Diceros bicornis minor: one gene and its partner. The protein of the gene in region 1 interacts with the protein of each later gene in a biochemical or structural test. Links are inferred from orthologs where the notes say so. Each region holds a gene or a part of one and is shown in the gene's direction. Other genes may lie near its edges. The genes, in order: LYN and DOK1.

Evidence for each region.
Region 2: of the proteins of LYN (region 1) and DOK1, one has a biochemical effect on the other in vitro, tested with the Homo sapiens proteins (2 studies listed by BioGRID, with this or other methods). The link is inferred for Diceros bicornis minor from reciprocal best matches to the Homo sapiens genes LYN and DOK1.

What each region holds. Positions count from the first base shown.
Region 1 is NC_080772.1:9,709,806-9,713,707, forward strand, and holds the start of LYN (tyrosine-protein kinase Lyn), read left to right. Parts: upstream 1-1,536; 5' UTR 1,537-1,725; intron 1,726-3,902. UniProt on the Homo sapiens protein: Non-receptor tyrosine-protein kinase that transmits signals from cell surface receptors and plays an important role in the regulation of innate and adaptive immune responses, hematopoiesis, responses to growth factors and cytokines, integrin signaling, but also responses to DNA damage and genotoxic agents.
Region 2 is NC_080751.1:14,465,710-14,469,611, reverse strand, and holds the start of DOK1 (docking protein 1), read left to right. Parts: upstream 1-1,419; 5' UTR 1,420-2,088; coding exon 2,089-2,148; intron 2,149-2,498; coding exon 2,499-2,798; intron 2,799-2,968; coding exon 2,969-3,062; intron 3,063-3,256; coding exon 3,257-3,441; intron 3,442-3,676; coding exon 3,677-3,902. UniProt on the Homo sapiens protein: DOK proteins are enzymatically inert adaptor or scaffolding proteins. They provide a docking platform for the assembly of multimolecular signaling complexes. DOK1 appears to be a negative regulator of the insulin signaling pathway.

The sequences.
Region 1 (3,902 bases):
TCCTATTCTTATTTGTGACATGCTTTTAGCCAGGATCTCAAGGACTCATTGGTAATAGCAGATGTTTTAAGTTAGGGCCAATACATTTGAGAGGTCACCCTGAAGAGAAGTCCAGGAAACGGGCCCTGAGGTAGTGAATTACTCCATAGGATCTGTGGCAGATTTCACTCACACTTGCAACACCTTCCAACAGGTAACCCCACTCCCTCCTCTTCAGCAGGAAACTAACCAACTACATACCAGCAAACATCACAGGTATAAACCAACCTACTTCGTTTAAGGCAGTAGTTTGCAAACCTTCATCCTCTGTTACCAGTAACAACGATTGTTGTTTGGGGTTGTGTTACAAGGAGTTGGACTTGCCCACTGGGCTGTGGCTGCAGCCTCCTTAGGTGGGGCCAGCCTCTTAAGAACATTGTCAATAAAAGGTAACAGGTCTGAAGCGCTTAGGGCAATGTCTGGGGCCCAATAGGCCCTAAGTAAGTATTGGCTATTATTAACACAAAGACCAAACCTCCTACAGGATGCTGTTTATTTCCTCGTAAATTCTACAGTGTAGGGCAGCGTTGGCATCCCAGTGAGTAGAATCCTGCTTAGAACAAGTGGGCATCCACAGTGGCTGAGACTAACATTACATCCTGGATTTGTAAGTGGCATTTACTGAGTAGGAATATGAGCTTGAAGATGCAGCTTACTCTTTCAACAGACACTGATTAGGCACCTGCTATGTGTCAAGCTCTGGGCAACATGTGGGGATGCAGAGATTGTAGGAATGACAGAATAACAGGGCCCATGACTGTGTACCGGGCACAGTGTGAGCCCTTTACAGAAGACATGTCATCCTCCCAGTAACCCCGCGAGCTAGCCATCCTTATCTCCAGTTTCCCGGGAGGAAACAGAAGTTTTGAGGAACTGAGTAAATTGCCAGGCTATTTAATTCCACAGCCACCACCGCCATCAATACCCTGAACATCCTCGTACACCCTTCAGGAGCTTACTCTGTACTGATTAAGAACACAATGAGACCCTGAGCATAAACTCGGCACATCTCATTCTCTCTCTAGAAAACTCCAAATGTTGGGGGGATCAGAGCGCGCCCCCTCCGCTGCCAGGGGCACAACACTTCCTAACACCTTGGGGAGTAGGCTGGAAGGCAAGGCAAGGAGACGCGAGAGGTTTCGTCGATGTGCTACGACCGTCAAGGCTTCAGAGTATTTCCCTGGAAGATGCTTCTGTCCGTCTCTACCTGAGAATGCTGGGCCCGAGGAGGCTCCACTCTGCCAAGCTGCACACTGGGACACCAGGTTTCTCTGCCTTCAAGGCTCTGCGCGACGGCCACATGAAAGACCCAAACCTTGGGCAGAGGCCAAACGGTCACTTCCCCGCCCTCCGGGTGCAGTATGCAAATCCGAGCACCAGGAAGTAGCTGGGACCTCTCGGCCGAGCCCAGCGACAGTCAGTTCCTCTCCCGCCGCTCCGGGCCGCCCGCCGCTCGCTCCCGGCCGTGGCGCCTCGGGGCCCGACGCGCTGCAGCCTCCAGCCCGCGGCAGGCGGGGCGGCCGCGCCACCCCGGGCCCCGCGCCCGCAGCCCCTCGCCGGGCGTCCTCCGTTCCCGGCCCGCAGCCCCTCCCCACGCGGGGCCCGCTGGGCCGCCCCGTCGCGCCCCCGGCTCTGAACTCGAGTCACCGTGGAGCGCCGCCGCCCCGCAACTTTCACCGCGAGCTGGTGAGTCCCGCGCGCGAGGCCGGGGGTGGGCGCGGGCGCCGGGCAGACCGGGCGGAAGCCGCGGCTGTGCCACTGGCCGGAGTCCGGGGCGCGGGGCCGGCCCTGGGCCGGGGAGCCGGGGTCGGCACGGGGAGCGGGGGTCGGCACGGGCCGCGGGGGCGGGGGGCGCGCGCCGCTTCCTGGCCGCACGGGCGCCGGTCCCGGCGGCGAGGGCACCCCGATGCCCTCAGCCCGTGGGTGACCCGGCCCCGGAGCGAGAAGGCGGGGGCGGGCGGCTCCGCAGGTGTCTTTCCCGCGGAGCGCACAGGGGCGTGGTGGGAGTGCGGGCGCGGAGGCGGGCGCGCCGCGGGTCCCTCTGGCGCGGAGCCGCCGGCCGGATGCTGTCCCCGCTCGGGCCACTCCCGGCGCGCCGCGGGGAAGCCCCTCTCCGCGCGGAGCGGGCGCGCGGCGGGGATCCTGGCGGGGACTCCTCGGGTCGCGCAGCCTGGTCTCCCCGCTGGGCTCTGGGTCCCCAGAAGTGAGGGATGGGGCCCGGCGCGGGCCCTCCTGCAGGCCCGCGGGCAGCTGCCCTCCTCGGTCGCGCCGGGCAGCGGCGTGACGTCGAGGGGCTGCGGCGGAGCGTGGTGCTCACCCTCCCGCTGAGCCCGGCGCCTCTCGGCCTGCAGAGGAGCAGTCCGGTGCCTCTGCCGCCGGCGGAGAGGAAGCGAGAGTTATTTTAAGAATTCAGGGGTTGCCTTTCCTTCGCCTTGGGGGAAGGGTGTCAGCGACAGTTTGCACTGTTCTGCGTTATCCTGGCGACCGCGGCGTCTGCTGGATGCTGTGCGTTTGTAATGTTCCTTCTAATAGCCGGCGTGGCTGTGTGGTTGTGTCTTCCTTTGTTTGTATGCCCGTGTGAGTATGGGTCTGTCTTAATTAAGCCCAATCCACCCAACTTCTTTGCCATCTCAGAAACTCGAATTGAATCCAGGCCTTGCAATTTCCTAACCGTGTGTGAACTTGGTCCTGTTATTGAAATTCGCTCTTTGGGTTTCCTCATCTCTTGGAGAATATATCTACCTCCTGAGCTATTTATTGCACGTAAGGCCCCAAGCACATACTAGGCATTTCATAAACAGTGCTGTTATTATTATTGATCGCAAATAACTCTGTCCATAAAAACGAGGCTCCCTGGTTCTTTGTAATGTGTTGATTATAAACCTAAGACTACATGTCCGATTTAGCCACCTGGCCTTACTAGTAAATCTGCTTAATAAATACACCAGGGATTTGCTGTCCCAAAGCAGGGCCCAGGAGTCTCACTCACCCTGAGAACTAGCCAGTAAGCACCTCTGACTGACTTTTGATTTGCTGGCCACCCCCAGCCGGCTGCAGGGTTCAGGAGGGCAGAGGTGTTCTCTCTGTGCAGGCAACACCTAAAGCAGTGTGGACTGGAGCAGGCACTGAGAGAGGACAGGAGAATATAGGGAGTTGTAATTTAACTAAGTACTGCAAGTCCTTCCTGAGAAGGGCAGTGCGCTGGAAAAGGGTGGGATTCTGTTGTCTCTGCTTCTTATTTGGGAATAAGGAGGTAAACGTCTTGAGGCCTGAAGAAATTTACTTTGATTACAAGAGGCTTTTGATGACTGGGCCTGTTTGGATGCAGAGTGGGCTAACCTGCTTCCTGAGTGAAGAGGAGAGGGCAGCTGATGTCGGGAAAGAGAAAGGAGGAACCAGAAGCCTGTTGTGGGGCTCTTCTGCCATTTACCAGAGCTGTGATTTAGGATGAGTTACTTAGGCCATTTATTCAGCCAACATTTCCTTCATAGCAGTAACTAGAGTTATATTTTGGTTTGTCTGCATGTGTATAGTCTATATTCACCACTACAGTGAAGGCTCCTTGAGAACAGCTTTGTCTGTCTGGTCCAAAATGCTAGCCCTGGTGCCTGTCCCATAGTGGAGATTACTTAGAAGAAGGAATGCAAGTCTGCTCTGAGCCTGGTGCTGTGCAAGGCCGAGGAACAGGGCTGGTCCCTAAGGCATTTGCAGCCTACTGGCCCTCTCTGTCCTGGTGTCTAAAATGGGGATGTGAGGGACTTTTTGGCCTCTCAGGTTATCCCAGCTGTAGTGTTCTAAGTGGGCATCTCCGTTCAGCCCTGGTTACTGTGCTGTATCACTGGGAGACAGGTCTTGATTTGGAG
Region 2 (3,902 bases), on another chromosome or scaffold:
CCTTTGGTAAAAAGTAAAACTCTCACTATTAGTTGTTATGCCTTCCAATGTCCTTCCCTAGTTCTGCCATCATCGCCTCCATTACCCCCACTCACTGATCTAAGAGACCCAGAGATCAAAAGACAGTGATTAGAGACCAAGAGTCAAAGAATGGTCAAGATAAAGAGATATGGAACAAGAGAAACACAGAGAGGAAGACCCAGACAGATAGGAGGTGAGAGGAAGGGAAACTGTGGGACTGAAAGGGGACCAAAGAGAAAGAGACAGCAGAGAGAAAGACAATGTTGAAGATGGATAAAAGGTGATTGGGAGAAAGCCGGGCACACAGGATTGGGGAGAAAAGGAGAGAGGCAGGCAACAGGTGAGGAGGACAGGGATTGACAGGAGCCAAGGAGCAGAAGTGGGAGGGACCCAGATGACCCCATTCAGCTAGTCAGACAGAGGACAGACAGCTACTGATTGTGGAGAAAGGCAGGCAAGGGGGTCTTAGGAAACCCTTGGATCTCCGGCCCCCTGAATGGGAGCCAAGCCCAGAGTCCTATCTGGGCAGATTCCAAGGCAGAGAGGGCAGAGATCAGAATACATGCAGAACCCGCTGCACACTCTACCCAGCACACAGGCTCTCACATGCCCTGGAGGGTCAAGGGGCCCAGGAGGGCCAGGCCTCAAGCTTGGCGGGGAGTGGGGGGTTGTCCAAGTCTCCTGCCAACACTGCCATCGCTGTCACTGGGCAACCGGAGGCCAGGGCGCCAATCGGCTCCTCAGCCAAGGCCTTCCCTCTGTCTGGGGCTGAGAACAGCCTCTCTACAGCAAGCCCCCCCACCCCCTACATGCTTCCCCCAACTCAGACAAACAACCCAACAGGACAGCTTTGTTCTGGGGACACTGTGGCTGGGGGGCCCAGGGGTAGGGCCTCACAAGAGGAGCCCCCAGCCTTAGGGTCCTCCCAGCTGCCCTATTTGGAACACTCTGCAGTCTCCTCCCCCCCCCCCCCAAATATCTGCTTCCTCTCTCCACTCTTCTTGTGTCTCGTTCTTCTTTGACAATAATAAAACCCTCAGTTGGTTGGCTTCCCCTCGACTCCATCCTACATCACCCTTTTCCCCTGGTCCCTGCACCATCCTCTCCATCCGCAACTCCCCTTCCTCCTGCCGGCAGCGCGACTCCCCCTACCTTTGGCTGAGCGGGGGCCCTAGGGGCTGGGAGAAGAATGCTGGTCCTGGAGATCAGTCCTAGGACTTTCAAAAAAAAAGTGCTCGGCCAGGGGAGACTGGACCCCCCCTCTCTCCTCCCTCTCCTTTAGTCCCTCCCACGTCCCCTTGAGCCCTCCCACATTCCGCCTTCTCCCTCGATTGCTCCCTGGCCAGTTCCCTCCTCTTTTCCTCTTAGTCCTCCCCTCCCCCGTGACGCTAGCCGTTGCCGCTCCACCTCCCCCCGCCCCGACCTTCCCGGAGTGCTCAATGAAGCTTTCTTTTCCCGCAGGTTGGAGGCCCGGCAGCTGCGGTCAGGAAGCTGGACACGCAAGAGGCCACCGGGCCGCGGACCGGCCCGGACGGCGGCCCCTGCAGCGGCTGGAGGCCGCGACTCGGCTCCGGGCTCCGGGAAGCCTTCCAGTCCCCAGCCCCTAGCCCTTTCTCCATGTCCCTGGGTCCGCGGAGTGTAAACAGCCCAACTCCGGCCAGGCTGGGGGCGGATCCGGTCAGGGGAACTGAGGCCATGAGGGCCCACGTGGCCCCTCCAGTGCCCCAGGGCGACCGTCACCATTTTCGAGGTGATGTCACGGCCTTCACTCTGATGTCACGTTGAGCATATGACATCGCACGCAGCCCCCAAGCCCAGGCGCCAGAGCCCTCTGGCCAAAACCGCGAGGTTTCTCTTGGTGGAGCCACTTGCGCGCGTCCTAGAGCTAAGGGCAGGGACCTGGAGGTGGACCCCCTCCCCTTCCTTCTTGCTCTTCTCCTTCCTGATCCTTCAAGGTCCGCAGGGGCCGGGGGAGGGGCGGCAACGCCTCCGGTGGGCCCGCCCCGCCCCGCCCCGCCCCGCCCGCAGCCCCGGGGCCAGGAAGTGCGAAAGGAACCGCCGCGGGCGATGGACGGGGCCGTGATGGAAGGGACGCTCTTTTTGCAGAGTCAGCGTTTCGGTACCAAGGTAGTCAGGGGCAAGGGTTGCCGAACCCCCTCAGAGCTAGGGGTGGGCGATAGAGCCCAGAAAGAGGGAGGAGGCGGGCAGCGGGTTGGAGCGCGGCGCCCGGAGCTGGAGAGCCCTGTGACGTTCCCGCGAGGTTGCTCTGCACACTCCGGGGAAGCGCCCGCCGGGCTCCGGGTACGCCCTCTCTGGTCGTGGGGAGACGGAGCGGCTTCCTCCTTGGGCGAGTTCGCCTCCCATCGGGAAGCCTCAGACCCAATATCGGCCAGCGCCGGTCTCTCTTTCCCCGTCGGTTCCCGGGCTGCCCGTGCTCGCCCGCCCCCTCCGCAGCGTCTCTCGCTCTCTCTCCGCAGAGGTGGAGGAAGACCTGGGCCGTGCTCTACCCAGCCAGCCCCCACGGCGTAGCGCGGCTCGAGTTCTTTGACCACAAGGGGTCGAGCTCTGGAGGGGGCCGAGGGGGCTCGCGCCGCCTGGACTGCAAGGTGATCCGTCTGGCGGAGTGTGTGAGCGTAGCCCCCGTGGCCGTGGAAAGCCCCCCTGAGCCTGGCGCCACTGCCTTCCGCCTGGACACCGCGCAGCGCTCCCACCTGCTGGCGGCCGACGCGCCGTCCAGCGCCGCCTGGGTGCAAACCTTGTGCCGCAACGCCTTTCCGGTGAGGGGGCCGGGACTGCCGGCGAGGGGCTCCTGCGAGCCGCACCGGGCCTAGAGGCGATGCGGGGGTGGGGGCAGTTACTGCGGCGGAGGAACTGGGTTGGCTCAGATCCTGGGAGCCGCGTTGAGGGAATTACAGGGTCTTCGATACTCTCTTTCTCTTTACCCCAGAAAGGCAGCTGGGCTCTGGCGCCTGCTGAGAACCCACCCAAGCTTTCTGCCCTGGAGATGCTGGAGAACTCCCTGTATAGCCCCACCTGGGAAGGTAGACGCCTGAGAAGCCCGGGCAGGGATGGGGTGGAAAGGAAGAGTGCCCTTGGGAAGGGGATAATTAGAGGGTCCAGGGACCCCTGGGGAAGTAGGAAGCTCCTGAGAGCTGGCTTCCAAGTGGGTGCTTGGACAATCTGCCCCATCCCCTAGTCCCGGCCAGGTGCCCGTCTAACTGTGTATTCCTTCCAGGATCCCAGTTCTGGGTAACCGTGCAGAGGACTGAAGCCGCTGAGCGCTGCGGCCTGCACGGCTCCTATGTGCTGAGGGTGGAGGCTGAGAGGCTCACTCTCCTGACCGCGGGGGCCCAGAGGCAGATACTAGAGCCACTCCTTTTCTGGCCTTACACTCTGTTGCGTCGCTATGGCAGGGACAAGGTGCGGGGGCTGTCAGGGAGGGCTGGCTTCCTAGGTCTGGGCAGCTGTGGGGGAGGTGGGGCAGGACAGGAAGGTGGAAAGCTCTGCCCTCTGGATAACCCTTCTTTGCCTAGCCCATGACCCCACCCTCTTCTCCAGGTAGTCTTTTCTTTGTAGATCCCCTAAGTAGTAGGGCCCTGTGACTCACCTCCTCTCATGGCTCCTGGTAATGTGTTTCTCTCCACATTCTCTTCAGGTCATGTTCTCTTTTGAGGCTGGCCGCCGCTGCCCCTCCGGCCCTGGAACCTTCACCTTCCAGACGGCACAGGGAAATGACATCTTTCAGGCAGTTGAGACTGCTATCCACCGGCAGAAGGCCCAAGGAAAGGCTGGTCAGGGGCAGGATGTTCTCAGAGCTGATTCCCATGAAGGAGAAGTGGCAGAGGGGAAGTTGACCTCCCCCCCTCAGGAGGTCCTGGGCA